4 linked regions of the Caenorhabditis elegans genome follow. The protein of the gene in region 1 interacts with the protein of each later gene in a biochemical or structural test. Each region holds a gene or a part of one and is shown on either strand. Other genes may lie near its edges. The genes, in order: npr-1, flp-4, flp-14 and flp-34.

The links.
Region 2: of the proteins of npr-1 (region 1) and flp-4, one has a biochemical effect on the other in vitro, tested with the Caenorhabditis elegans proteins (one study listed by BioGRID).
Region 3: of the proteins of npr-1 (region 1) and flp-14, one has a biochemical effect on the other in vitro, tested with the Caenorhabditis elegans proteins (one study listed by BioGRID).
Region 4: of the proteins of npr-1 (region 1) and flp-34, one has a biochemical effect on the other in vitro, tested with the Caenorhabditis elegans proteins (one study listed by BioGRID).

What each region holds. Positions count from the first base shown.
Region 1 is NC_003284.9:4,766,192-4,772,185, reverse strand, and holds npr-1 (Neuropeptide receptor npr-1), read left to right. Parts: upstream 1-2,200; 5' UTR 2,201-2,211; coding exon 2,212-2,385; intron 2,386-2,821; coding exon 2,822-2,966; intron 2,967-3,015; coding exon 3,016-3,203; intron 3,204-3,262; coding exon 3,263-3,514; intron 3,515-3,564; coding exon 3,565-3,626; intron 3,627-3,671; coding exon 3,672-3,836; intron 3,837-4,440; coding exon 4,441-4,551; intron 4,552-4,600; coding exon 4,601-4,816; intron 4,817-4,861; coding exon 4,862-4,922; 3' UTR 4,923-5,034; downstream 5,035-5,994. UniProt on the Caenorhabditis elegans protein: G-protein coupled receptor for FARP(FMRFamide related peptide) neuropeptides. Activated by FARP neuropeptides flp-18 and flp-21. Plays a role in modulating social and feeding behavior.
Region 2 is NC_003280.10:10,046,825-10,055,276, reverse strand, and holds the start of flp-4 (FMRF-Like Peptide), read right to left. Parts: upstream 6,410-8,452; 5' UTR 6,226-6,409; intron 653-6,225; 5' UTR 639-652; coding exon 489-638; intron 438-488; coding exon 382-437; intron 1-381.
Region 3 is NC_003281.10:12,908,870-12,916,049, forward strand, and holds flp-14 (KHEYLRF-amide 4), read left to right. Parts: upstream 1-1,640; 5' UTR 1,641-1,642; coding exon 1,643-1,774; intron 1,775-2,724; coding exon 2,725-2,848; intron 2,849-4,564; coding exon 4,565-4,694; intron 4,695-5,825; coding exon 5,826-5,871; 3' UTR 5,872-6,061; downstream 6,062-7,180. Other genes in the region: Y37D8A.16 (MARVEL domain-containing protein), read right to left, coding at 6,428-6,559.
Region 4 is NC_003283.11:1,027,269-1,035,575, forward strand, and holds flp-34 (FMRF-Like Peptide), read right to left. Parts: upstream 6,137-8,307; 5' UTR 6,118-6,136; coding exon 6,062-6,117; intron 4,385-6,061; exon of another isoform or gene 4,317-4,384; coding exon of another isoform or gene 4,261-4,316; intron 2,555-4,260; coding exon 2,438-2,554; intron 1,968-2,437; coding exon 1,902-1,967; intron 1,301-1,901; coding exon 1,238-1,300; intron 894-1,237; coding exon 878-893; 3' UTR 626-877; downstream 1-625.

The sequences.
Region 1 (5,994 bases):
ATGTGCCCAAATGAACGACTCAAAAAATGTTGCAATATTTTTTGTGGTAGTTTGAAATTTTGAAAAAAAATACAGCTAATTTTAGTGGAATTTTTGAATTTTGCCTACTTTTCTGTAGCACAGCTGTTGGATATGAACTGTTAGTCAATTACCATACTTTATTGCATGGTGACTTTTTCAAACATTTAAATAATCATGAAACATTTTTGAGCAGTATCTAATAAATTTGATCATTTCAGCTATTTTTGAGTTCATATTTTCAATATATCCCAAACTGTTATTCCCATTTTAAACAACCAATAGGCCTTTTGAGAAATTATGAATATACATCTTACGGTTAGTTTGAAATACGTGCAGCTTTAGCATGATACCAACAAAACAGGGCACAATGTGCACACCGCGAATCAAAAATTCTTTCGTGATGCGCCAATAGTGCTCGGACCTCAATGTGTTCATAATGCTCATTGAGTTTGTGAAAAGCACTTAATTTTCTCGGTCTCATGCAACTAAATCTCTCAGTAAAAGGAAATAGTTCTGAATAGTCTCCTTAATTTCAAAGAACAAATATTTCTTAATGATGTTTTGATTTTCGAGGATAGATAATATATTGCAAAATGATTTAGTTTTAATTTCTGAAAACTTTGAACTTTATTCATAACAATTACAATGACAACTACTTGAACTTTAAATTGAATTTATGAAAGCATGAAAACAAATTTTCCTTATTAGTAACTAGTTTGAAAAATAAGTTCGTTAGCCTAGTTGTTAAAAAAAATATAATAATAGGATTTTTTTCATTGAATGTTCCAATTTGATGCATTATTCTCCTTGAAAATGAATTGTGATTTGAACGTCGCCCGATCCAATTGTAGCTCAACTTTAAAAAAATCTGGCTTCAGAGAATTTCGAGATTAAATTTAATCAGTTTATCCAAAACTCAATCAGCCTCTGGGTTTGTGTTGTTTTGATTGATATCAAAAATTTAATCTCAACCCACACATGATCAAAACCATTGTCACTTTTTTTTATTTCCTACTTAAAAATTCAATTTCCGTTGTTTAACGAAAATAGAGTTGGAAAACAATTGCGGAATTTTTGAAACCTGTTTCAGTAAATTTTCCCCACATATTCTTTTTCTCTTTTTTCTCAGGTATTCATCTTTTCGGCCCTCGATCCCTTTTTCATTAACGTGAACATGTCAACCATTTTTCGGCTTCATCACACAACTCCCTCTCACATCATTCCTGTTTTTGCTCTCATTTCACATTTAGCAAATTTCAACGCAATTTTTTTCTGGTTTCCGTCTAAGATATTCGTCACATAGATCAGTGCTGTTTTTTTGACACAGGGTTTAGAAATTTTGAACCTTGGTTTACCAATATCTTGTTTCTATCCATTTATTACTAGGTAGTTGTTGAACCATACGGAAAAAATAAAAAATTTTCCACTTGTCAAAGCGATAGATGACATCCTGTGCTTCCAGTATCTATAATTCTGTAATGAATCTCTGTCATTTGTAATCTGTATCAATTCGCAGGTGTATTCCGCCAAAAATATACATTCTGAAAGCTCAAGATGGTTTTAAGGTCTCCGATCTTACAATGTGGTTGAACTACCTAATTAGACTTACCCTATTTTTTAAAAGTATTGCACCTATACTGCCTTATCACCCAGATGCAAAATATTGCCATTTCACAGCTTAACTAAACCTGATCTTAACACGACAAGTTTTTTTTGTCAACTGAAAACATTTGCACCTTTAAAAAATACTGTATATTGAAACTTATAAAATTTTTGTAGACTCGTAAGAAAACCTATGAAAAGACCACCAAAACTCATCAACGAGAAATGAAAAGTACAGTAATCTTTATAAGTGCACACAATCTTTATAAGTTGCATTTTAAAATTTTGTCGTATTGTCTAGACCGGGAACCTGTTAGTGGGCCAAGAAATAGTATAATTTTGGGGTTTTTAAAGATGTGAGTACGAAATATTTAATTTCTATAAGCCATAAGCCATGCTAAAAAAACCCTAAAAATTTGCTTACATGAGAAGAAAGAATTATACTCAGCCAAATCTCTAATCACTTTCTGGAAACTATAGGATTTTATTTTTTATCTATTAATCTATTTGGTTAACACCCTCTTTCATCTTTGTTTCCTCAATTTTTCTTTCCTCCATTAGACTAAAAAAATTTCAGACATAGGCCAAATGGAAGTTGAAAATTTTACCGACTGTCAAGTATATTGGAAAGTGTATCCAGATCCTTCTCAAAGTATATATGCGATAGTGCCATTTCTGACCGTGTACCTTTTTCTCTTTTTTCTTGGACTCTTTGGAAATGTGACCTTGATTTACGTAACTTGCAGCCATAAAGCTTTACTGGTACGTTTCGTTTTTTTTTCGGGTCAAATTTTGTTCTGTTTTGGAAAATTGACAATTTCGGGTTCTCTGAACAATTTGATTCGAAGTGCATAGTGCGTACAGCTTACTGACACCCGGCTAACGAGAGACGAGGTTATCCATGTCTACTTGAAAAGTGACGTACATATTTGGCAAAAAAAAAAAACACTCTTATAATTCTATATAACCAAATATCATAATAAACGTTTCACAACTAGAAAAAAAAATTTTATAGACAGTCAAACTGAGTAATTACCACTTCTTGAAAGAATTTTTCCAAAAACGAACCAAATACGTGATGGAACATCACAAAAATGTTTTTAACATTTTTTGAAGCGGATCAAGATTTTTACTCTGACTAGTCCAATCAAAAATCCCAGAACCTTCACTTCTCCTGTGAATTATCATTAAATTTCAGAGCGTTCAAAACATATTCATTCTGAACCTGGCGGCGAGCGATTGCATGATGTGCATATTATCGCTTCCAATCACTCCAATCACAAATGTGTACAAAAACTGGTACTTTGGAAATCTACTCTGCCATTTGATACCATGCATTCAAGGTATTTTTTCTAAAACAAGAAGTTTTTTAAAATGACGTTTTTTTTTCAGGTATCAGCATTTTCGTATGCACATTCAGTCTCGGTGCGATTGCTTTGGATCGGTATATCCTTGTAGTAAGACCACATTCTACACCACTATCCCAAAGAGGAGCATTTCTTACTACTGTTCTATTGTGGATCCTCTCTTTTGTTGTAACTCTACCCTATGCGTTCAATATGCAAATGATTGAATACACAGTGAGTGTCGTTTTTTTCTAGGTATTCAACTTCTTATACAACTAGTACCCTCGTTTCAGGAAGAGAGAATATGCGGCTACTTTTGCACTGAAAAGTGGGAATCTGCCAAGTCTAGAAGAGCCTACACAATGATCGTGATGCTCGCCCAATTCGTGGTCCCATTCGCTGTCATGGCCTTCTGCTATGCAAATATTGTTTCGGTGCTCAGCAAGCGTGCTCAGACAAAGATACGCAAAATGGTGGAGAGAACAAGCGCGTTGGAGAGCTCTTGCGCATTCCCGTCGCATGGTCTTGAACAGTATGAAAATGAGGTAGTTTTATTGATTTTCAAATTAAAAATTCACATTTGATTTCGTTCCAGTTGAACGAATTTCTAGACAAACAGGAAAAGGAGAAACAACGAGTTGTACTTCAGAACAGAAGGTATTAAATGCAAGGTTTCTAACCGAAATACTATTTGTGTTTTAGAACAACGTCAATCCTAGTTACCATGGTTGTCTGGTTTGGGATAACTTGGCTGCCACATAACGTCATTTCTTTGATTATTGAATATGATGACACACAATCGTTTTTCCGACTTTATGGCAGAGATGATTACGATATCAGTTATTTACTGAACCTTTTCACTCACAGGTTTGATTTTAACCAAGAACGAACGGTTTTGACCATTCTGAACGTATAAACCCAAACATGCCTCAAATGAACAAATTTCAAAATAAAACTTCTCAAAATTTTTTTATGCCGGTTCATTTTTTGGAAAAAGACCTGGGTTTAGCTAAAATATTCAATTTCTGTCACTTTTCCGCAGCTGTCGAAAGTTGACTTTTTTTAAAATTATCGTCCTTTATCGCATATTTTAATAGTTTATCTCACTTTTTTCGATCATTAAGGTATTTTTTAAGCCAATAAGTAACAAAAAATGAACAAAATCGGCTACCTATTGGATTGAAAGATACCTTAATCAACGAAATAACGTGAAATAAAAGCTACAAATGGCACAAATGATGATTATTCAAATAAAGCCAGTTTCTGACCGCTGTGAGTCGGGAAAGTGGCTAAAGTTGCGGATTTAGCTGAAATTAACGTTTTGGCCCAAAACGTTTTGAGAAGTTTCATTACGAAATTCGTTCAATTGAGCACATTTTGTGACTATATGTTCAAAATACCCAAAACCGGATCCCTCCTTTGAATTCAATTTTTTTCATGTTTTTGCAAATATTAATTTTAACGTTTCTAGTATTGCCATGTCGAACAATGTTTTAAACCCGGTACTCTATGCGTGGCTGAACCCAAGTTTCCGTCAACTGGTCATAAAGACATATTTTGGAGACCGGCGTAAAAGTGACAGGTTTGTTGTCAATTTCGAAAACGCGTTGTAATTGTGCTTTGTCTTCCAGAATAATCAATCAAACATCAGTTTACAAAACAAAGATCGTGCATGATACGAAGCACTTGAATGGAAGAGCCAAAATTGGCGGTGGTGGTAGCCACGAGGCGTTGAAGGAGAGGGAGCTGAACTCGTGTTCGGAAAATTTAAGCTATCATGTGAACGGTCATACGAGGACTCCTACACCGGAAGTTCAGTTGAATGAAGTTTCAAGTCCTGAAATAAGGTAGAACGTGAATTTGAAATCGTAATTAAAATTTTGATTTTTTAGTAAACTTGTTGCTGAGCCGGAAGAATTGATCGAGTTCAGCGTCAACGACACGCTAGTCTGATTGTTTTCTGACATATCCTTTTTTCGTTGATTTCGCAACTATCATCACTTTCATCCTTGCTGAAATAGTTTTTATGATCTTTTTTTTGAATAAATAATACATAGGATGCATATATATCTATAAGTGTTTTCATGACGTACACATACGAAAATTGATGATATGTGGTCTCGTAGACTAAACGATCATCTCGTGTTCTACAAACGAATGATTCAAAGCAAAGTGCTTCAGAAGACTAGAAGGTAGGGAATTAAACACGAAATTATTATGCAAAAAGAAGAGTTCAAATATTGAACATGTGGTAAAACAAAACGCTATGCAATATTTTGGAGTTTTGAAAATTTCAGACAAACTGCCGAATTTTTCGGAAATCGGGAATTTTGCTGAAAAATTTCTGAGCCATCATTCGCCGGAATTGCCAATCGAAAAATGATTTACAGAACACTAAACAAGGTGTAATAATTCGTTTTCAGAATAAGATTAAATTTAAAAGTTGCTAAAAATTGTCAGCAATCTGCAATTGCGGAAATTTCAGCAATTGCCGAAAATGTTAATTTCCGAGTATTTTTGATTGCCGTGCACACTTTACTTTTTACAAAATTAAAATACCAACAATTGAATACATGTTTGTTTCTTTTTAAAATAACAAATCTCAAAAACTGATTAATTACCATTTTGTTACTGTAAATAAATTTTTAATAAATTTTTTAAGCTGCAATTTTTTTTAAATATTTAGTCGCAAACTTGTTGCACTAAATGCTGAAACACAAATTTATTTGCCGTTTGGTTGTTTTCTGAAAATTCAAACAATAGTAATTAAGAGTTTTTTCTGATAAATGTTAAAATTTCACTTACATTTGTAAATTAGAATTACCGTATTTCTTCGATTAATATAGCTGCAATACTATTGTTCGATGGTCTTCTAGCTTGCAATACTAATAGGGAGTGCAAGACTATTAGGGAGTGCAATACTAATTTTCAGAGCATTTTTCTGACTTTCAGCTTACTAGTTTTTTTCTGATAAAGCTCGAATCTTGTGTAAAAATTCAGAAAATTTGATCTTAAGTGTAACATA
Region 2 (8,452 bases), on another chromosome or scaffold:
TTTAATAATTTAGTGTTTGATTTGGCAATGGTTAGCTATTTGCTAAAAACACGCGACTTTGTATGTAGGACTGATGAGAATTCAAAGGCTTTTATTATTAAAAGTTTTTCAGAAATATATATTTTTCAAGTCTATAATAAATTGTGGAATCCGGACACTATGTCTACCGCAGGTTAACAAGCGGTATGTATATGCATGTAGGCAGACTGGCATGTGGATCTAAAGAGGAACCTGCCTACCATGAGAGCTTTACGTTTGACAAGTAAGCATATTGAATTTGAAAATTAATTTACACAGCGTTTCAGAATGTTTCGTTTTGAACTTATATCTTATAATTTAAAAAAATGTGAAGACTAGGCGCAAGGCAATTTTTCTACTTACCGTAATCCACGAAGATGCACTGGTGGCCAGAAGTTTTGCTGCTCGACAATTTCCGGCTGAAACATTCATTTATTTTTATAACTTTTCTCAATTTTTAAAAATCTTACAATAAGTTCATCTGGACTTGCAATATTCTTCTCTTCTTGCTCAGCAATTTCTTCACCAGATGACGGTGGATGAGCTGCTGTGAGTGCAAGCAACGTGGCAAAAAGCAAGGAGAAGATGAATGTTTTAAGGGAAGAGGAGAAGGCGTTCATGTCGCTGTAGTTGTCTGAAAATTGCAGAAATAATGAAGAAGGGGAAGGGGGAGCTTGAAGCGGAAAATTATGCGACGAAAAGGTTGAGCAGGTGCTTTTAAAAGAAACGGAGAACAATTGATAAAGGGGTGGAGTCAGTGTGACGTTGATAATGGTTGGATTAAAAAATTAGAGGACAAGTAATTTATCAATATTAACTTAAACAAAGGGTGAATAAACCGGGATTGCCCAAAGTTTGGCCGCACCCAGCTCAAAATTTTTTAATTTTTGTTTCGCCTGAAAACGAAATTCGAACACTTTTTTTGGTTGCTTTTTTGGCATTTCTGGTTTACCTGTTTAAAAAAAAATTGACGTTCAGTTGGAAAATACCATGAAACAATTGTACTTCAATAATTCTCCAAAAATAGAGGAAATAACATTTCACTGGTGTCTAAAAGTGATAGGTTTCCTAAAAAACAAAAACGCACATCCGTTTTCACAAACTTCAAGCCTTTTATTCAAAAACTCAATCACCAATGTTTCTCAACTGACGCATCTTCAACATTTTGACGTAATTTTTGAAAACTTTGACGTGCTAAATATTTCCTGTGCAAGCTGATTTTTGTTATCTAGACATTTTGGTTCAATTCTCAAAAAAAAACATCTGCAATGAGGCGTGTGGAATAGTTTTCGGAAAAGGTTGGAGATTGAAAATTGATCGGGATTATTCTAAATTATCATTGAGTTGATTAAAAAGTTTTCAATTATTCTCTTATACTGTTCACCCTGGGACTAATTAAAAATACGGTAAATACTATTTATTGGCTAATCGTAATATTTTATTTAAATATCCAATGACACAAAAACGCACGTCAAAGAGAGAAGAAAGAAAATTTAAAAAAACGTATCAATAATGCAAAGAAATATCTCGGAGAACATCAAGACCGGTGCGCCCGATTCCTGGAAGACATTGAGCCCCCACGTAAGAAGTGAAAGACCGAAAGACCTTTTTTATAATAAGTAATGAAACATGAGAACTATTCTGAACATTATACGAGCTGATTGGACACCCGATATGAGCATTTGAGTGGTGAAGTCTCTTGAACTTTCAAATTTTGCATAATTTCTGTTGGAAAAGAAGGAAATGTGGGTGTGGTCTGACGTCAAGGGTTCAAAATTATGCTGGTGGTCCGTTAGAAGTAGTTCTATGAAATTTAAACAAAAATCAATGGTTCTCCAAACAAATTTCTGAAGCTTAAAGGATAGCTGGAAAAAACACCAGAACTAAATCTTTAGAGCCAGCCAAATTTTTCAAACTTGTCAATTTCAGATATTATGCGTTGAATCCATGTTCTGTTATCCGATGGATCAAAAATTATAAGTTTGTAAACAATACGAATTTATAAAAGATCCTTATTAAAACTTCAAACTCACATTAACCTCCTCGGAAGGGATTAATTATAGACTTAAGCTTCTAAAATAACTAATATTTTTTAGTCGAGCTTCTTTTATGTGTCTAAAGAAATTATTACAGACGTTTTGGTTTTCAATGAAATATAATCCTTTGGTTTTTAGTTTGTGTCTATATCTATTGGTCTCTAGGGTTACGGTAGTGACGGGTTAACTTCAATTAGTAAATCACCTATTTACTGTCTCGAACGTGGTCATAAACTTTGTTGAGTGTAGGCAAAAAATGCCTACCTATTCATGTATGTAGATTGTCAATTGATCTCCATAATTGCTGGAATTCAGTGATTTTGATAAGATTTCAGAAGCTGATAGATTTTCAAAATGGAGAATAAAACTTCTAATGAATAAGACAGAGTCAAAAGTTGAACTCACCACTTTGCCAAATTCAAAAGCTGAAACTAATGTTGTAAGAGTGGATTTCTTAGGTATTTATACTTAAACCTTCAGTTCAAAAAACCTTAACTAAATACCAAAGGGGTATTATTACGACACATATCAGACTTTAGTCTAAGATTAGGATTAATATTAATCTATTGCTTACATTTTCATGTTTTAATGAATCAAGGTTTAGGTTACACTGTGAAAAAGAATAATCTTTTAATGGACGAGATGATCTTCGGAAAGTGAATTGACAATGCGATCTTAGGAATAAAATTAGAATTGTGATAAGTTTAGTCTAGTTTCAAAAGCTTGCTGGAAGTGTTTGTCTTAAAACAAGGAAATCTATCACCTAGCCTATTCATAGGCACAAAAATACATATCATCGAAACTATCACAAAATGTCCAAGAGGCACGCAGGTAAGCATTTTGGGGGCCTTTAGAGATCATTTCAAAGTAAAATAACGCGAACAGTATGTGCTTGGATGTTCTTCATTTGAAAGCTTTCTACTGTTTTTCGTTCAGGAAAATTATCGTACTGCGTAGGATTCAGATCTTTGTCATAAACTTCGTTCATTCATAGTTTCTTCCGCATGCCATTTCAAATAAGATCAAAAGTCTATTTTTTGAATAACCTTAACATTTATCTTAAACTCTAATTTTTCTTTTAGGTTCTATTGTTTGCGATAATGGATGTCTCTCAGGATTAAGCATAGTCAAAAATCACATCCGTGTCTTTTTCCGGATTTTCTATCACGAAAACTCATCACATAGGTAACTGTAACAGATGATCAGTCAGGTAGTGTGGCATAATGAAACCTAATAAGTATTTTGAAAATGAATATTCTTTGTACAGCAAAAATACATTTAATTCTAATACCACATTGAAACTCTAAAATTTCAATGAATTATATGACGTCACACGGCGCTGAAAATGTGTCCCAGCAGAGAAAAAAGAAAAAGAACGGAATAATAAGAAATGTGAAGAACAGTTGGAGGTGCTTAAAAATGCATGCAAAAATACTAAGAAATTCACTGGATATTGGTCACAATTTGTAGATTTGTGCGTACAAACTCGTGGTGTAGAATTACTTTATTAGGTGTGATATGAGTTATCAGAATCAGTTTGATTAAAAATTGGATTGGAAAATGTGGAAAAATTGTCATGGTGCGTGGTTTGATCTGAGAATAATTGGAAAATATGATGGATTGAAAAGGAAAATCCTGAGAAAATTTTGAGAAATGCCTTTTTGGAAAAATGACGCAATTGGAATTAATTGAGTAGTTGGGCTACAGTCACGTACTACATTTTGAAGAGTTTTATAAAAAAATATGGTGGTTCTTTGATATATTTTTCCCGGTGTAATGATAGAAATTCCTATCTGGAAGTAAATTTCCAGAGCTCTCTACGTATTCAGATTCCCACGTAAAGATTTTATAATTTTCAAGAACTCTTTTCTGTTTTCTGGATTTGTGGTAAAGCTCTGAGTTTTGTGATCACGATGCTTCAACTGGAATTTTAAATAGTGATAAACAGTTTCTTAATTCTCAGAGTAAGAGAAGTTTCTCCCATAGTTTTAAGGAAAGTATTCCAACTTTTAATTTTCTAAAGAAGGACACTTTTTATTACGTCTGGACTATTGAAGAAGCCAGAAACCACTAAAGTTCAAAAGAGCTCATCAAACAGTCATGGAGTCAGGGAGCAGGAGTGTAAATCAAGTGCGTGAAAGCTTGAAATTCTAAAAAAAAAGAACATTTGAAGACCTCGAAGCTCCTTGAAAACCATTTTACTACGCGACTTCCAAATCGGAATATTAAAATTTGCAAAATATTTATCAGGCATTTCCAGTTTTCGAGCCCTTGATTCACACCCCTGTTGTGTAGCAGCTAGATGTTTGAATGAAGATTTTGAATTAAAAAGAAGGAAATTTTACTGTAGCCCGTAATATAAAGGTACACTTATAAGTCGATCCAAGAAGCATGAAAATCTGAACGAATGATCTTATTCTATGCTCAATTTTTATAGGAGACGTAAATACAATTAGCAAAGAAAGAACTCTCAAAATGTTATTTTGTTGTCTACGTAATTCAACAACAACTTAAATCTTCCATGTTATGCTGAAAATATTCTGCCTGCCTTCAAGGTAACCTACGTTCCTTGGAAATATGTCATGACTACTGCCAAAGTTGTAAAAACATGAATACAAAACATACTCCTGAAGACGTGCGTGCATACGACGATGCTATACAAGAACTATAACAAGAAAGAAAAGTAGTCCTGCATATATACTAAATCTAAAAATGTATTTACAGTTTCTTTTGCCCACACAAATAAGACGCCCACTTAACTTTTCATCTTTTGAACTTGGCTCTCAAGTTTCCATAAAAAGAAGAACATTTTTGCAGGAAGCTGTCTTTCAGTCCTAAAAGCTAACTTCTTGTTTTTCTTAACTTTCGAATATCTGAAGATTCGGTGCCGCAAATTGAATAACAACAACTATTTTTGGATGGACCATAAATAGACGTTCCTCCTAACTCTTCAGGTTACACCTACGTTTTCCGAACATTTTTGAAACCTTAAAGGACAATTTAATAGAAAATCAAAGGAACATGGATAGGTAATAATTCAAAATCCGTGTGTGTTTTTGTCTGATGTTGTCACTTTCGAACAAGCAACAACTAATTCGACAACATCAATCAAAATTCCCGAATCTCGGCAATTTTTCTTCGATTAGCTTTTGAGCGTCCAAGGTTCAATTCAGGAAAAAGAAATATGAGAGCAAATGAGTGAAATTGAAAACAGAACAAGACAAGAAAATGACTAACTAGATAATATGTAACATGATAAGAAGATTATAGATTAACAATGAATAGTCAGAAATTATTCTTGTAAGTCTAGTAAATCGGCTTGCAGATTTCATCGGAACATTTATTAAAAACAATACATGTAAGAAGCCAAAATTGAACACGTGTTTTGAATTCAAGATTTTTTAAATTTATAAAAAACAAGTCTGCGGTTTTTTTTTTGGGCTTAGATTTATGTACTCTATAGCTTTTTCAAGTCATAAAAAGCTTTGAAATGCATTACTGTATTGAATAAATGTTTAGTAAATGTTTTGAAAAACTGGTAAATTTTCAAACAAAAAATTTTTTTAAAGCAATTTCAAATCATGTAGGTTCGATTATTTAGAGGTGCTAATTTGGAAAACAACCTTGTATAACTCTTTGGAGATACCCTAAATTTAGATCCACAATACATATCTAGAAATTTGATACACTAGACACTAGACATACCTCAAGAAAATTATGAACGAAAAAATGTACATTGTCTTATATAAATACTTGTATGAATGACGTTGCAATGGCTAACGTCAAATACTCCAATAAAAACTCTAGAAGTTAATCAACAATATGTGTTTAGTAATAATCGTTTGACGCCCACTTTTCGCTAGTTTTCAAGCAAAACCAATTTCCGATTTCTGAAACGAAAAATGAAAATAACTATGGCAGCTACAAATGGTCACGTAGACTAAACCAAACAACAACAATCTTCAAGAAGTTCCTCGAAAAAATTGAAGATTTTCCAGAAAAAAAAACAGTCAGATACACCACGTTTTCTGGTTATGCTCCATTGTGGCCTCAAGATACTGCTGTTAGACCAAAACTTTTTGTCAAATTTCATGAATTTCAAAGAACATTTTTGCCAGTTTGCTTTTCACGTCAACTAGATCTATTGATGTCAAAGCGAAAAAAAACCTACCAATTTTTTGCGGAAATATTGAGATCCAAATATGAATTTGCGAAGAAAGGCGTGAGCAGGCGGAGCCTAGTGCGCAATCAAATGAATGTGACTGGAATGATGTTGAATAGGGGAAAAAAGGAAACAGAATAAGGAGACAGCACAAAAAAGGAGAATGGAATGGACACTGGAAGTTGGAATATATGTAGAATAAGTAGGAATGGGTTGAGGAAGAAGAGGACAGTTTTATTGAGTTCTTTACGAGCTGGGGAATGAGGAATGATGATGGAATCATTGGAGAAAAAATTGTGGTACGACCAAAAAGCTGAAGACGTGGGTTTTGTCTGACAAGGCATGACGAATCAATGATTAGGTGGAGGGGGACATCGAATTTATGACGGAACTTCGGGAATGAAACGTGCCAAAAGATGGATGGGGGTCCAACTACCCCAATAAGTTTGATCTTTTGGAATACCAAACTAGGAGGTAATGGGGGTTTTCGGCTATTTTTAGATAAAGTTGATTGAAAACTACCGTAGTTCGACTGAAAAATTATCTTGCGTAGATGTTGGCTTTCGAATTTATTTTAGAAAATTTAGGAAAGGTTGAGAACCTTCTAGAAACTCTAGAAACTTTTGGAATATTCGGGGAAAACCGGGAAACTTTGGAAAACGTCTGTATTGTAAAATAAAGACCCGTCGCTGCGGGTTCAAATTCATGCTCTTCAAAAAAATTCAGCGCCCACAGTTCAAATATGTGATTTTAGAATTATTCTGTCAAATTAGAAGGAAGTACAAAAATTTTATATAGAAACTGAAAAAAAACGTCAGAAGACAATATATGCACCAATAGCCTATTGATTTGAAGAGCTGAAAAAGTTTAAATCCCACAAAAAACAATAGCAGGATTTTTTGGGAACCCCGCAAATGATAGAACACTTTTAATATTGGAACAAGTGCTCAAATTTTTTAAAGACAGTTAAATGAATTATTGAAATTATTCATTTTACTTTCCTTTTTTGCAAAAATAAAATCCGAATCCGTAGGTCTCGGGAAATCACTAAAGATAAGTAAGTCTTAACATTTTCCTAATTATGAAAATCAGATCGGTCAACATTTTGCAATTTCGCTAAAACATGCACAAAATAAGAACCAAGAAATCAAGCCTTTTTTTTCGTGTTATTTTCTGCGCTTTTCTTTAATAAACAGAAAATTGCTCCTGATCCAAAAATAATCCAGACAACTCATCCAAACAATCTTCTGCTCGGAGGAGAAGGAAATGCACAATTTGCAACCACTTGTACGTGGGGAAATTGAGGAAATGGTTATGTAGTTCAAAAGTATTTGTGTGGGCTCCGGATTGGGGCATGAAAAATCAAAAAAATTGTTCGTATTGGACTATTTTTCTAATAACTTTGGTAATTTTATAATTTTCCAAAACTCGGCAATTTACCAAAAAAGACCACAGATCTATTCGGAAAAGTTTTGATGCAAAAATTTAACTTTACCAGTTGTCTCCTTTTTTGAATAAATATTAAAGAACATAACATCTCCACAAAATCCAAAAAAATTGAAAAGCATCTACAAAAAAAGAAAAATGCTGCTTAATTTTCTATTAAACCCGCAGGCTTTCAATTACACATTTCAAGATATTTGGGAAGCACTATAAATACTACAAGTAGTGCAAAACAAGACGAAATCGTCATTTTAAATTATTAAATTATTGAAAATCTGAAAGAATGCTGTGCAATTCTAAAAGGGGCTTAGTCAGCGGAAGCTATTTTTTTCAAATTACTTATTCACGTCCGAGTCATCAAACTACTCAATGTGTTCTACCAAGTCTATAGCATATTCAATATCATTTGCCACTATGTTTTCACTATATTTCTATTTTATTTATAGGGAAACCCAAACTTCATATATATAGCTACATCATTTCGTGGCAGGAAGTATGAAAATTTTGGGAAAAGGAAGATATGTTTGTATTTGTGAATAGGGAGAGAGAAGGTTCAAAAAGTGTTCGTTCTTGCTCCGTTCCAGCTCGGCAATTTATGGAGATAAAGATATAGTTGGAATTCTGAGTCTACTGTACTTGGATATAAGACTTTGCATAAGGAGGGGGAGGATTTCGATGTTTGTGCTGCTAAATGAATTCCTGGTATCCATTGGCAGGTTAAAATTTAATCGTGTTAATGCAAATTCAAAATGCACAATTATTTTAGCTCTAACACGCGATTCGGCTTACTACG
Region 3 (7,180 bases), on another chromosome or scaffold:
GGCCATATCTGGGGTAGATTTACGGCGCGTTGCGTGTCGCGTCGCGGCTCGATTGTAAAACTAAATGTCCGTGTGGAGTTCACACGACTTTCCCGGCGGCCGATTGTCAATGGAGCGCGAAAAAATCGATGAGGAAGGCTAGAAGCCTGTGCATCATTTCCGCAAATTTTTTGAAGCTCCGTCGCGGTCATGGCCGATGTTCCCAACTCTCTCGGAACGCTCCGTCTTCATAAAATGGGTCTCATTAGGAATTTGGTCGTTTTAGCTATTATTCGTTATTTTTAATGATTTTTTTCGATTTTTTGATTTTTTGATTTTTTTCGTCACAAAAAACATTAAAACACACTGAAAAAATTAGAAAAATTAACGAAATCAGGAGATATAAAAAAGTTTGAATTTACGATTTTGTCGCCAAAAACCTAACGAGACCCAAGTTATGTCACTATGCGGCAATTCAAAAAAAGACAAATGTGTTATTTTGTTCTGGAAGTTACAATTTTTCACAAAGTCAGACCAATTAGAGCAGCCTCTTTCGAGTGAAAAAAGAAAAGAAAACACTTAACGAGCACACACAAATTTTAGAAGAAAAAAAAACGGAGCACCACGTGGAGAATTGCACGAAAACAACATTAAGCGATGGTTCTATACTTCCTTTTTTGTTCTGAACGTTTAATTTGGGAATAGTTTGAGCAAAGCCTAGGCTGGTCTAGGCTGGTCTAGGCTGGCCTAGCCCAGCCTAGCCAAGCATATTTTAGCCTAGACTCCCAGCTTGGCTAACCTTGCCTAGAATCCCAGTCTTGCCTAGCCTAGCCAACCTTACATAACGTATCCTACGCCTACCTAGTCTAGCCTCACCTAGCCTAGCCTAGCCTAGCTTAGTATACCCTTAACTAACCTAGTCCAACCTTATCTTACCTATCTTATCCTATGTCTACCTAGCCGGGCCTAGCTTAATCTAACTTCCCAGTCTTGCCAAGCCTAGCCAAGCCTAGCCAAACCTAGTCAAGCCTAGCCAAGCCTACCCTCACCTATCCCTGCCTAGCTTAGCCTAGCCTGGCCTAGCCTTACCTAACTTATCCATCGCCTGCCTAACCTGGCCTAGCTTAATTTGTCCTATTCTTACCGAGTCTAGCCTAACCTAACCTAGTCTGTCCTAGCCTAGCCTAGCCTAGCCTCACCTAGCCTAGGCTCACCTAGCCTTGCCTACTCTTCACTAGACTCCTAGACTTGCCTAGCCTGACCTATCAATACATCTGCTCTGTTCAAACATTGACCTCCTCTGTCACTTAACTCAATATGCCCCTGGGCCTCCTTACGGAACCTCCGATACATTTTTTTTGGTTTTTTTTATTTTTTATTACTTCCGGGGCAGATTCTCAGATGTTTGAGGTGTTTTCTCTTTTCCAATTTTCCCGGAAAATTTTAGCGAAATCCTGCTAATCCGGGGACCCCATCCCCTCGGCTAATTAGTATTTGTTTTTTTTTTCGTAAAATTTTTAGTGCTACCGTACTCTTGAATTTTGTTTCATTTTTTTTTCTTCTCCTCGAGCTCTACCAAGCCACGCCCACAACATTTCACTTTCAACACCGAGCTCCGCCCATTTTGAAGTCTCCTCTGGCTCCAACTGAGAGCTCTCTTCATATGATGATCTGCCTGCCCACCGCGCTTCTGCTCTCCGCGTTCGTCGTGGCCGCCAGTGGCCAGGAGGCACCGGCTGGAGCCGGAGCTTCTGGAGCCGCACAGGCTCCACACAATCCGAAGGATTGTCAAGCGGTGAGTCAAAAAAAAACCATTTTGTTCTAAGAAGTTTAAAGTCATGTTTATAATTGGGTTTAAAAAAGTTTTTTTTTTCAAAACTGCAAGTGGAAGTTATAATGAGATAGTTTAGTGCATTTTGGAAAAGTTTTTCGAAAACTAAGTTAGGGCCTGCGTGACGTCATACATCCCATGGTTCTCAAAATTCTGAGAATGCGTACTGCGCAACATATTTGACGCGCAAAATATCACGCAGCGAAAACTAATGACTACTGTGTATTGGTTTGATCTACGCAGATCTACGAGAATCGCGGGAACTTAGACGCAGACTTCTTAACTGATTTCGCATGGTTAAGAACGTGCTGCCGTCACATTTTCTGGACAAAAAATTTGATAAATATGATATTCTTTTGATCCTCATGACGTTTCGGTTGTAGTAAACTTAATAAGATCACAATTTCTGCTCATTTTTCGGGGGAGGATTGGATGCACAATAAAGATTAAACAACTTGCGATGAATAGAAAAAAAATCTATTTTCTTTTTCATAGTTAATCTAGATGATTCTAACCTGATCATACTATTCTCTGTTTGATTTGAATGTGTTTTTTTGTGGGGTTGGAAAGTAGTAGATCAAAGTTTTTTTAGAACTCCACTTTGGTAGATCATAACTCGGTTCATTTTATAGATAGCAAAATTTTTTAAACTATAAAGTTGCAGAAAAAGAAAAAACCTATATTTTTCTAGTTAACAACTTTTTGATAAAGCTAAAGATAGCCGAGATATGAGCTGTCAAATACGGGCTTCATCTCACCGTAGTCCTCGACAAAAATCTGAACCTATAATTACAAGGCTTCCGGTTGGTTTTTTTTTTGAAACCATGTAATTTTCGTGCTTTTCCCAAGGATTTTGTTCCGGAATAATCACTGGGTTTGAAAAACGTACTACTGTAAAAAAACACATTTTCCAGATTCTGGCCAACAACGGCGATCAACAAGAGGCGCTTTTGTGCCAATTAAGCGAGAGCAGCATGCTTCTTGCTCAGCTCGGAGCTCTCGTTTCGGAGGGAGTTGAACGTCTCGTTCAGACTCACGGTAAGTAGGCAGGTAGTAGGTAGGCAGTAGGCAGGCAAGAGGCAGGCAGTAGGAAACAGGGGCACCGCCGAAAATTTTTTTTTCGATTTTTCGGTTGTTTTTGAGCATAACAGAAAAACAAAAAATTTAAAAAAAAACCGAAGATCCGGCAGCCCTGGTAGGTAGGCAATAGGCAGGCAGTAGGTAGGCAGTCGGCAGGCAGTAGGCAGAAGGGGTGCCTTTGCCAGGTTTTTCGGTTTTTTTGGGCAAAACCGAAAAATCGGAATACCGTAAAATTGGAGTCTGAAAAACGAAAGTTGGCAGTAGGCAGGCAGTAGGCAGATAGTAGGTAGATAGTAGGCAGGCAGTAGACAGGCAGTAGGCAGCAGAGGTGCCTATGCCAGGTTTTTTTGGTTTTTTGAGCATAACAGAAAAACAACAATTTTTTCAAATAAACCGAAAATCCGGCAGGCAGCAGGCAGGCAGTAGGAAGGCAGTAGGCGGGTAGTAGGAAACAGAGGCACCGCCGAAATTTGTTTTTTCGATTTTTCTGTTTTTTTTTTAGCAAAACCGAAAAACGAAAATTAAAAAAAAAAAAACAGAAAATCCGGCAGGCCAGGTAGGCAGTAGGTAGGCTGAAGGCAGGAACTAGGCAGTAGGCATGCAGTAGGCAGGTAGTAGGCAAATACTAGGTAGGCAGTAAGCAGGCAGTAGACAGGCAGTAGGCAGCAGGGGTGCCTATGCCAGTTTTTTTTTGGTTGTTTTATAGCAAAATCGAAAAATCGAAAAACCGTAAAATGGGAATCTGAAAAACGAAAGTTGGCAGCAGGCAGGCAGTAGGCAGGCAGTAGGCAGGCAGTAGGTAGCAGGGGTGCCTATGCCAGTTTATTTGGTTTTCTGTCTTAGCAAAACCGGAAAACAGGAAAACCGGCAAGCCTAGTAGGTAGACAGTAGGCAGTAGGCATGCAGTAGGCAGGTAGTATGCAGGCTGTAGGTAGGCAGTAGGCAAGCAGTAGGCAAGCAGTTGGCAGAAGGGGTGCCTTTGCCAGTTTTTTCCCTTTGGTTTTTTTTTAGCAAAACCGAAAAACGAATTTTTTCTTTAAAAAACACCGAAAATCCGGCAGGCCTGGTAGGTAGGCAGTAGGTAGGCAGTAGGCAGGTAGTAGACAGGCAGTAGGCAGCAGGGGTGCCTTATCCAGTTTTTTTGGTTTTCTGTCTTAGCAAAACCGAAAAATGGAAATACCGTAAAATTGGAATCTGAAAAACGAAAATTGGCAGTAGGCAGGCAGGCAGCAGGCAGTAGGCAGACAGTAAGTAGGCAGTAGCAGGCAGTATGCAGAAGTAGGAAACAGGGGCGCCGCCGAAATTTGTTTTTTCGATTTTTCGGTTTTTTTAAAGCAAAATTATTTCAAAAAAAAAAGCAGAAAATCCGGCAGGCCTGGTAGGTAGGCAGTAGGTAGGCTGAAAGCAGAAACTAGGCAGTAGGCAGGAACTAGGCAGTAGGCAGGCAGACAGTAGACATCCGATTTGCCAGCTGCATGAGTCAAACTTCATTTTCTCTGCATCAAATAAGCCTCCGGTGACCCAGCCGAAAGCCTAGACTATCAATCACGTTCCGCCATTTTCTTGAAAAAGCCCCTGACTTTTAAAATGTAAAGCGCCAAATTCTTTTTAAATTCTTAATGATGGTTGTGCTCTTGCTTTGAGGTCTGATCCCAATGGGAAACGTTGTTGCAGGATTGGCTCTCGAGGAGGAGACCAACGAGGGAGACAATGACATGGAGAAGCGCAAGCACGAATACCTCCGATTCGGAAAGAGAAAGCACGAGTATCTCAGATTTGGAAAAAGGAAGCACGAGTACTTGAGGTTTGTGATTTTTTTTTAGTTGTAAGGCAGGCAGTAGGAAGACAGTAGGCAGGGTGTAGGCAGGCAGTAGGCAGACAGAGAGTAGGTAGACAATAAGCAGGCAATAGGCAGGCAGGGAATAGACAGGCAGTAGGCAATCAGTAGGCAGGCAGTAGGCAGACAGGGAGTAGGAAGACAATAAGCAGGCAATAGGCAGGCAGTAGTAGGCAGATGTTATTATGGCGCCGCAAAAAGCTGCAACTGTTAGATGGGGGCAAATACGCTCCAACGTACAAATGAATACACCCAGGAAATTTTTGGAACCAATTTTCTTAACGAGACCCAAATTATGGCAGCGTTTGGAGCGCAATTGCACTTTTTTTTCGAAAAATTGTCATTTTTGCGTCACCGTAATACTTCTCAGGTCTCTACACGAATTTGCTTGTTTTTTTTTAATACAGAAGGAATTCAAAAGCCTATAAAGATTACTGTAGTGTCCTGCAAAATATTATTTATTTACACAAAAATAATACGGACAAATTCTCGAGGAAATGATAGAAAAACTTTGAAAAATCGATGAAAATCAAAGTCGCACACCTTTTCGAATTTAACGAAAAATTTGTCGCGTCGAGACCTGTATTTGTGGCTGAAAAATCGTGTAACAAACTTGCGCGTAAAATATGATGTCTGTGCATCGAATTTTATGCGCGAATTTTTTTTCCCACTTTCACGGGGTTCAGGCCTTCCTCATTGCATTTTTCGCGCTCCATTGACAATCGCCTGCCGGACAACGCGTGGGAAAGTCGTGTACTCCACACGGACAAGTGATTTAGATTTACAACTAAAATCAAGCCGCGACGCGACACGCAATGCGCCGTAAATCTACCCCAGCTATGACCGAGCCAAAATGGCCTAGTTTGGCAAACTCTTCCATTTCAATTTATGAGGGAAGCCAGAAATCCGTGATTTTTCGAGCACAATTTAACGGAGAGAACAAGCTCTGATCTTCGCACTTTTCCGTAACACTATTAAACTTCAAAAATTGAATTTTCGACTCAAATTCGGTGTTCTTTTTGTTTGTTTCTAAATCAAATGTCACACGATGTCTCTAAAGGAAATTGTGTTCCATCAAATTTCCCCTATTTTTTTCAGATTCGGAAAGAGAAAGCACGAATACTTGCGTTTCGGACGCAAATAAGAAGGGAATATCTACTATCATCGAAGAAACATCTTTGAAAACCATACAAATAAAAGAAGAAAAAGACGGAACTACAGTACACCATTTTTTTTTGAAAGATTTTTTTTTCTATATTTTTCTCTCTATCTCTTTTCTCTCTCCCTCTCAGCATTGTCGAAAGAAGAAATTGTAATAAATCTTGTCGTTGGTTAAGAGTTATTTTCTAGAAGTCAGAGGAAGATAAGTGCGCAACCGACATTAAACAAGGTTCACGATGAACCACTTTAAAAACGATTTAAAGAAAGCAAACTTCTGGGTCTTGTAGAAATTTCTGGGAATCTGGATTTTTTGACAAGTTTTGCTGGAATGCTCAGAAAAAAAAACACTTCGAATTTTTTAAAATGTACGGTAAATTTTTTATTAGAATTTTTGTCAATAATTCCAAAAAATGAACAAAAACGCAATTATAAGATCCCTTCGAGATAAATGGAACAAAAAAAAAAGAATAAATATAAGTAGATCGTATTAGAAATTTACATGAAAATGAGCAATAAAAAATCCCAAGACTTCTGCCGAATTACTGCACGTAAACTCCACGATCGTATTTATTGAACTTTTGCGAGCGCTGTAGAATCTTATCGTTGACAAGATTTGCAACGAAAATGGCAGCGATGCCGAGGAAGCATCCAACGTTGAGTCCAGCCATTGCCTGTAAGAAATTAATTTTGAAAAGTTTGTTAAATTTGGCAAGAGTTCGCGAAGTTTGGCAAAATTTAGCAAAGTTTGGCAAAAGTTGGTAACTTTTGGTAAAAGCAGGCAAACGTTTGCGAAAGTTGGCAAAAGCTGACAGAAGTTTTTGAAAAATTGCACGATTTTGAAACTTTTCTAAAATGGGCAATTTTGTAGTTAGAGGACTCAACATTGCTCTCCGAACACTTAAAAAATGCCCTTTTTCAGAATGTAGCGGTTTTAATTTGTACATTTTCAGAAAAATTATTTTTTTCCCCAAAAAAAAGGACAGCCGTTAGATGGCAGAAAAATGAAAATGGGCAAAAATAAAAAGTTGCCTAAATTTGTTGAAAACGGGTAAATCGTATATGGACAATTCAGAAAATCTAGGTTTAACCCGTCAAAAACCATTAGTGGCAAAAATGGACAATTTATTGCAAAAAATCACAATTTTGAAACTCCTCTAAAATGGGAAATTATTTAGTTAGAGAACTCAAAATTGAAAAACTCCGTTTTTTTTAGAACACTGACAAAGTTTAGCAAAGTCGGCGAAAGTTTGGAAAAAGCTAGCGAAAGTTGGCAACTTCTGGCAAAATTTTTA
Region 4 (8,307 bases), on another chromosome or scaffold:
ACTTTTTATTTGTTTGCTCGGACATTATTTCCTTCTCTGATAAGACCATTTCAGTATTGGTCACTGCTTTGATAAGGGGTTTCTTGTCGGAAATACATAGATCTGTCTCAAAGTTCTTAACTTTTTTCGAAGTGGACTCATTCGAAATTGTATTCATTTAATCTGACATCTGGCAAAAGTTTATTCTGAGGAAATTAAAATAAACATTTGAGATTGAGAATTCTGAATTCACTCGAAGCCTATGGCCTACGCCTATGACTTACGCCTATGGCAAACGCCTATGGCCTCCGCCTATGGCCTACGCCTACGGTCTACGCCTATGGCCTACGCCTATTACCTACGCCTATTACCTAAGCCTATGGCCTACGCCTATAGCAACCGTCTTTGACCAATGCCTATGGCCTACGCCTATGGCCTACGCCTATGGCCTACGCCTATGGCCTACGCCTATGGCCTACGCCTATGGCCTACGCCTATGACAAAAAAAAAGATCAAACTTCAATGTCCACAAATATCATATTCAAATCAAAAATTCAAACCAAAAAAAATTTTGGCGCACTAATATCCCGATTGTTTATTCGACCATTCTGTTCCCGCTCTTTTTAGATCAAATAAATTTCAAAACAACAGACTCACAAACTTTATTTGATTTTTTTTTGAGAAAGAAATAAAAAATAAAAACGAGTTGGGGGGACTGATTTGATACAAGACAGGAAGATGGTGAATGATGAAAAATTTGAATAAGCGAATTTTTGAATGAGGAAAATTTTTTAGAGAATAAATAAATTAATTAAATATCTGAAATAAAAACAAAACCTCGAGAGAGAAAATTTAGAAAAAAAAACGAGACGGCTACGGACGGGCTGACGTGATGGAATTATTTACGGCCAAATCTGAAAATAAAATGGATTATATTTTGTTTTAGGCCATAGACGTAGGTCATAGGCGTAGACCATAGGCGTAGGCCATATACGTAGGCCATATACGTAGGCCATAGGCGTAGGCCATAGGCGTAGGCCATAGGCGTAGGCCACAGGCGTAGGCCACAGGCGTAGGCCATATACGTAGGCCATATACGTAGGCCATAGGCGTAGGCCATAGGCGTAGGCCATAGGCGTAGGCCACAGGCGTAGGCCATAGGCGTAGGCCATAGGCGTAGGCCATAGGCGTAGGCCATAGGCGTAGGCCATAGGCGTAGGCCATAGGCGTAATCTCGAAAAATAAAATTAAAAATTACCGTAATCGTTCCGCATTATTGAGAGAAGCCACCAGGGAGTCTCTGTTCAGCGCACGTTTGATTCTGAAATAATTTTTAGTTTCAGGAGGATTTCCTCAAAAAATTTGAAAAATTTTCATCCCAATGACCCGACCAAACGCCACGACTTTCTGATTCCGAGAAAAATGTCCTTTTTTTTTCAAACTCTCTGCCAAATTTCTAATTATCTATTCAACCATTTGTCATTCGAATTGTACATTTTAAAATTGTATTTTGTTGAGAGGGTTTAAATCTTGAAAATTCGGAAACATCTTTTTATAGCTTTGAAGCTTAAGCGCCCCCACGTCATAAAACTCCTCCGCTAATCCACTTTCAATTAGTTCCAAATTTTGATCTACGTTCCAAAATGCAGGAACAAACAGGTGAAATTTTGATTAATCACTAATTTATTCTATATTTACTACTTCAAAATTTCACCTGCCTCCTAAATTTTGTTCTTCAATTTTCAGGCCTAGGCTAGGCTATAGGCCTAGGCCGGGCTATAGGCCTAGGCCAGGCTATAGGTCTAGGCTAGGCCATAGGTCTCGGCTAAGCTGTAGGTAACTGTAGGCCTAGAATATAGGTCTAGGCTATAGACCTAGGCTATAAGCCTGCCTAGGTTCTTTTACCCCAGTGAGAAACTCACAATGCGTACGGATAACGTCCTTCCGAGTAGAGGTACTGATCTTCCGATGATGGAATGATGACATTACTGAAAATCACAAATTTCTCATAGGCTACATTACTTTTATAATTGCAAAGTTCTTATTTCAAATGACGTGATGATTTCGAAGAAAAGTGGTGGGTTGTTGCTGGAGCAAACAAGTTTGTAAAGAGCATCTCCTTTTGCTAGACACAAATTTGAGATTTCCGGTCAAAACACACACTTTTATTGGATTTCGAAAGGTTGGAGTGCGTTGAAATTATTGAAAAATGTCACTCGGAAATTGAAAATGTTAAAAAAAACTTAAATTTTCAAGAAAAATGAACTGAAAAGATAGAAAAAGTGCACACTACGTACCGATCGCTGGGCTCCAAATTGTGGAAAAAGTTTAGAAATCGCATAGGTTTGAACCAGCGTCTAGAATTTTTTCCATGACCAACTAGTTTTCAAATTTCTGCGCGTCAAATCTGGTGTTCCTCGATGCACCATATCTTACGCGCAAATTTCCCAGTACTCACTTTTCTTCCCACATTGCGGGGTCCGATCGTTTGCCGTATCGAAGCCGTCCAGCATTATTGATAGCTGATGCAAATGTGGAAATGTCTGCTTTTTTCTCCAGTGGCAGGGATAGTACGCTGCAAAACTTTTTTATGTCGTGACACAGCTGAAACTATTGCTACAGTAATCCTTTTTACTTGAATATCATAACATAGTCTAAGTATACACGTGGTGTTAGAGTGTCCCATTTCGGCTTGATCTACGTAGATCTACAAAAAATGCGGGAGAAGAGACGCAGAGTTCTCAACTGATTTTGTATAGTTAAGGACGTGCTGACGTCACATTTTTCTGGGCAGAAAATTCCCGCATTTTTTGTAGATCAAACCGTAATGGGACAGCTTGACGCCACGTGAGTATACCGAATATAACTGTTTTAAAAAATTATATAATTTTTCCAAATTTTCGAGGATTTTTTATATACATTCTTAAAAAAGTTTACAGGGACTACGATTTTTTTTAATTCCAGCGCAAATGAACGGAAATTTGAAATTTTCAAATTTAAATTTAAACTACGCCCAGAAATGTATTAAAGGCGCATGCCCAAGTTTTGGTGGGTCTCGTCGCGATTTGTGAAATTTCAGTTTTTGATGCATCATGTTCGAAATTCAAAATGTATGAAATTTCTAAATAGGAAACAGGTTAAAACTTTAAAAAATTTTTAAAAAAATTTCAATTTTTAGAATTTTTGGTTCAACTATTAACAGTATTACTACATATCTGAATTTATCAAAAATTTGTTGATCCAAATCTAGATGGGGGATTAAGCCTAGTTTTTGATTGTTTTGAGATGCTTCCTTGTTGACTTTTTCACAATTTATTACTCATGAGCATTGACTAATACTCCAAATTAATCCCCTTTTGTTTCAGAATTACTTTTTTTTTGTGGATTTTCAAAAAAGATCATGAAAAAAATCCTACTTATCTCAATTTTGCCACGTCATTGAGAAAAGTTGAACTGCAATTTTTGGTCGAAAACATTTTTTTCAAACAGAAATTCACCTGCCATGATGTTTTGCGCAGACAAGCTAAATTTAGATTTCGAAAAGATTTAAATTTGAGTAAGTAACTGAGTAGTAAGTTCAAAAATTAGAAAACATCAAGTTTTTATAATTTTTAGATTTTTTAAAATTGTTCTGATTTTTTTCCAAAGTTATCCCAATTAATTTTGTGATTCTAAAAATTGTCTTAAACTGAAATGAACATAAGCTTATCCAAAAAATTAAAAAAAAAGCTCAGAAATTCAAACTTCGACCCAAAAAATTTTAACCAAATTTTGGATTTTTTTTTCTTTTTTCCAAAAATTCAAAAAAAAAACCTTATAACTTACAAATTAACACATATATTTAATGAGACTATAGTAATTTTTTTTTTGAAAAATATTGAGTTTTTTCTAATTATCCTAGATGATACTGCACCCTTAAAATAGTTTTTGAACAAAAATCATTAAAAAAATTTTTGCAAAATATTTTTGGCCCAACCAATGTATTAAGTTATAGATTTTGGTTCAGTTAAAGGTACTACAGTAATACTACAGTAATACTACAGTAATACACTATAGTAATGTTAAAATAATGTAGGATCACAGTAAACAGAAATATGGTCTCTTACCAAATTTTAAAACAAAATTTTCGTATTTAAAAAAATTCAAAAAATTCATAACCAACAACTTTCAAATTAAAAAAAATCATATAATAAAACTACCGTACTTTCAACAAAAAAAATCTACAGTACCATTCCCTACAGTACCCCTACAGTACCCCCACAGTACCCCCACAGTACCAACCTGTCAGTTAAAACCAAAGCAACAAAAATCAGAGCCATCAAAAATTGGAACTGCATGTTTTAGAAAATATGTTTAGTAGTGGAAAATGTGTGTGAGTGTATGTATCGGGTGTCGAAAACAGAATGAGCTTTCTCCCCCCTCTTGCTCGCCGAGCCAAAAGTGGGCGGCGCCTAATGGTGGGTGCTCCCAGGAAATGATGCCTGCCTTTCATCACATTCTTCTTTAATTTTTTCTTGTTGCCACGTCATCACACACAGCTACGGTATTTTTATATACTATACGATGAATCCATGACAATAATACGATTGTTTTACGACTTTTTGGGTGGTAAATTAGGTTTTAGGCTTAAAGCAGGAAGAAGCTAAACGGAAATGTGGTGCCAATTAAATGGAATGGTTTTAAACCGAAATTGGGTAACCGGATAGAATTTGTTAGCGGTTTTCGAGGAGGGAAATATGGAAAAACAGAAAAATATACACAGATATATACATGTATATATTTCAATTTTGAAAGCATCACCGCGTCACTTTTATTTGCGAAAAAACAAATTATTTTCCCTCTCTGCCAAAATTACAATTTCATAATTGGGTTCCTACGAGGGAGTGGGCTCAGGAATTTCTGAAATAGCTGAAATATTATAGTTTTGAAATTTCTAAAAATTTTAGCAATTCCGGCAATTTTTTTCGAAAATTTATACAGAAATATAGAAAAACATTTGTACTTTCTGATAATGGTATTACTTTTTTCTTTAAAAATTCAAAAAGCTGCTCAAAACCCACCTAAAAGTCAAAATGTGCCGATAGAGTCAGTGACCCTAGGTGCATTACGGCCGGCTTTGAGGCAGTTTTTCGGCAATTTCTCAAACATTTTAAATAAAGATAAAATTGTTTTCAGAAAGAACAGATATTTCTCTACATTTCTATATAATTTTCCAAAAAAATATTTTCAAAAAATTTTTTTGGATAAAAATGAGTTTTGTAAATGAGCCCCATCCCTCTGTTTGGAAATAAAAATAAAAATAAAAAGTAAATTTCCTCAATTTCAAATTTTCCAAAAATTGTTGATGCTATGCAATTTCCGACAGCAGGCACCTAATTGCCTGCCTGCCTTCAAAGCAAACCCCATGAAGAAACTTAATGGAAATGAAAATAGACAGAAATTAGCAAATATGCATTTTTATTGGAGGCGGCGGTAGGCAATAGGTAGGCACATAGGCAGGCAGGTCTCCTTCTAACGCGTCCACGAGAAAGATAAAACCCGTCCACATTTAAATTTCGAACAAGGTAATTTTTATCGACTTTTATATTTTTCTACGTCACATATAGTAATCTATATCGGTTTTACCTATAAAAATTGCGGGAAATTCATCGGTATGACGTCACTTGAATTTTACTGCGAGACCTTCCAAAAATACTATGTTTGCGAGTTTCGAAAGCCTAATTGCTTCCTCATATTTTTGAATACATTTTTTTCAAATGTAGTTTCATAATAAAAAAAGTGATTCTGCATAAATAAAATGTTGATCTAGTTATCAAAAAACCCTTCACCTGGTACAAATGAAATTTGATTCGTTTTTGCTTTTCAAAAACCAATTTTTGATCTAGTTTCATAGATTTTGACAACTTTTGTTTGCTAAAGAGCTCAGATTATTTGAAGAATTTTAGGAATATTGTACCAAAAAAAAGTTCAAGTACCTACCTGCTTGCCAAGGTTAAATTTTCTAGTTGTAAGCCTTTAGAATCTTCTTTAGAGCTTTGAAATGAACCATGTAATTGTCTTAAAAAATAATTAAAAAAATTACCTGACAGAAAGAAGAACTGTGAAGAAAATGAGCAATTCTGTGATCAAGCTGTGCATTTTTATTCTGCAACGGGGGTACCTGAAAGTAAAATTTTTAGAGATTGAGCTGAATTTCAAAGGAATTCAGCAAAAATTTCCGAGAAAATGAGAGTTTGAGGTGAAATGCGGCTGCTACGTGGCCTAGGAAATTGGAAACTCGGCCATGAGTATTTTTTTTAATTTAAAAACCTCGAGATTAGCATACAGTATTCATACTAGAGGCCGCAAAAAACAAAAAATATCAAAAATAAATTCCTGGCCGAATTTTCTAATTTTCGCGGCCACGTCTGGACCAGAGTCAGAAACTGCAAGATTCCTGTAAAAATTCGAATAATACACGTAAAATTGTGAAAACTCAGGAAATCCTTCAACAAGTCCGTCGTATTTCGGAATGAAAAATTCATTAGCACCGCATATTATTTGAGACACAAAGCGCAAAAAAAGGAAATTTCCGAATTCGAATACAAATTAATATTTAATTTTTTTATTCTTGTTGTTAGAGGGCATGATGTCAATGTATATGAGGAAATCTGTATAGAGAGAAAATAATTTAAAGGGCATGAGAACTTGATGCAAATCAAGCACGTGGTCTGCAAATTTCAAAATTTTCGGCAAAGTGCCGGTTTGCCGAATTTGCCGGAAATTTTCAATTCCAAAATTTTGCCGATTAGCCGACAATTTTCATTTCTGGCAAATTATCGGTTTGCCGAATTTGCCGGAAATTCTATATTCCGGCAATTTGCCGATTAACCGGAAATGTTAATTTTTGGCAAATCGCCGGTTTGTCGAATTTGTCGGAAATTTTCAACTCCGACCATTTTCCGGATTTCCGGCAATTTTTGTTTTTGGCAAATTGCCGGTTTGCCGAATTTGCCGGAAACTCGAAAAACGGCAAATTGCCGACTTTGCCGGTAAAAATATTTACCGCGCACCTCTGGTCTTAATACACTCATACATTCAGATTTTCAAATTTTCAAATGTTTGAGAATATTTCAGGTTTTTCAAAAATTTTATATAGACAAAGTTATTGGCAAAAAATCTAATTTTCCAAAAAAAAAGAGGGTTGACCTCCAAAATTGGCGAAAGGGGAAATTTAGTTTTCCCTTTTTTGACTTCAATTAAAAAAACTCAAAAAAAAATTCTACCGTAATTTCGGCTGAGTGTGACGTCAATTTTCTAAAATATTTCTTTACTACAGTTGACCATGGGAAAATGGAAATTTTGGAACTTTCGAGAAATAAAAATTGCCACGAAATTTCCTCGTACATATTTCATAATTAGCAGTGAGAATAAATGACGTTAGAGAACTAAAAATAATTTTGAGATCCCAAATATAGATTGTTGTGAGAACTACATTTGGGTAAACATATCGTTTTTAGGTAGAGTTTTTGTAAATTTTCAGAGATCCCATGAAAATTTGAAGACACAAGGCAAATTGACTGAAGTTTTGCACCGTTTATTTAGTTCACCATAAGGCCAAAACATTTTCTAATCAATTCCAAGTAACCAAAAAGGTTAATTAAAAAATTTCTAATCAATCAGAATCGTCTAAGCGTCATTCACCTGATTGATGAATTTGTTTTGGTATTGACAAATTAGAAAAAAGGTTAAGAACCAAAACTATCTAACAACAAAAAATTTCGTAAACTGGAAAACTGGGACTCGTTTTGGTTTAGAAATAGTTTAACAACTTTAGAAATTTCTAGGCCCTACAAGGTCCTGTGCAAATATAGTTGTTGTTTTTGGCATGCCTACGAAAGTACCTACGCCTGCTTTATGCCTACTTCAATACAAACCCTCCAGTTTACTGACAATTCACAAAATTAGAAAGTAGGTAGGCGTGCCTGCCTCCGCTGCCTAGCAGCTCTAGAGCCAACGTCGCTGATTGGTCGGTGTTTTTAGGGACATGAAAATTGAATAATTCCCTTTGAAATCGGGCTAGCTTGCATTCTGAGGAAATGTGTTTTTTTTTGGAAAACTCTAAAGATTTTTTGGATTACCGAAAAAAGAAGGTTTAAAGAATTTTCACCTAGACACAGGATTACTGTAAAGGCACAGTCACGTAAATAAGCATCAGACATACTAAATTCTAAAAAATTATTTGAAGCCGTCATGAGACGCCAAAAATAACATAAACTATTATTTACCAGACCACTTTTTGTGATACACTTTTCCATAAAAAATACGATTAGAAACCAGATCAGACAT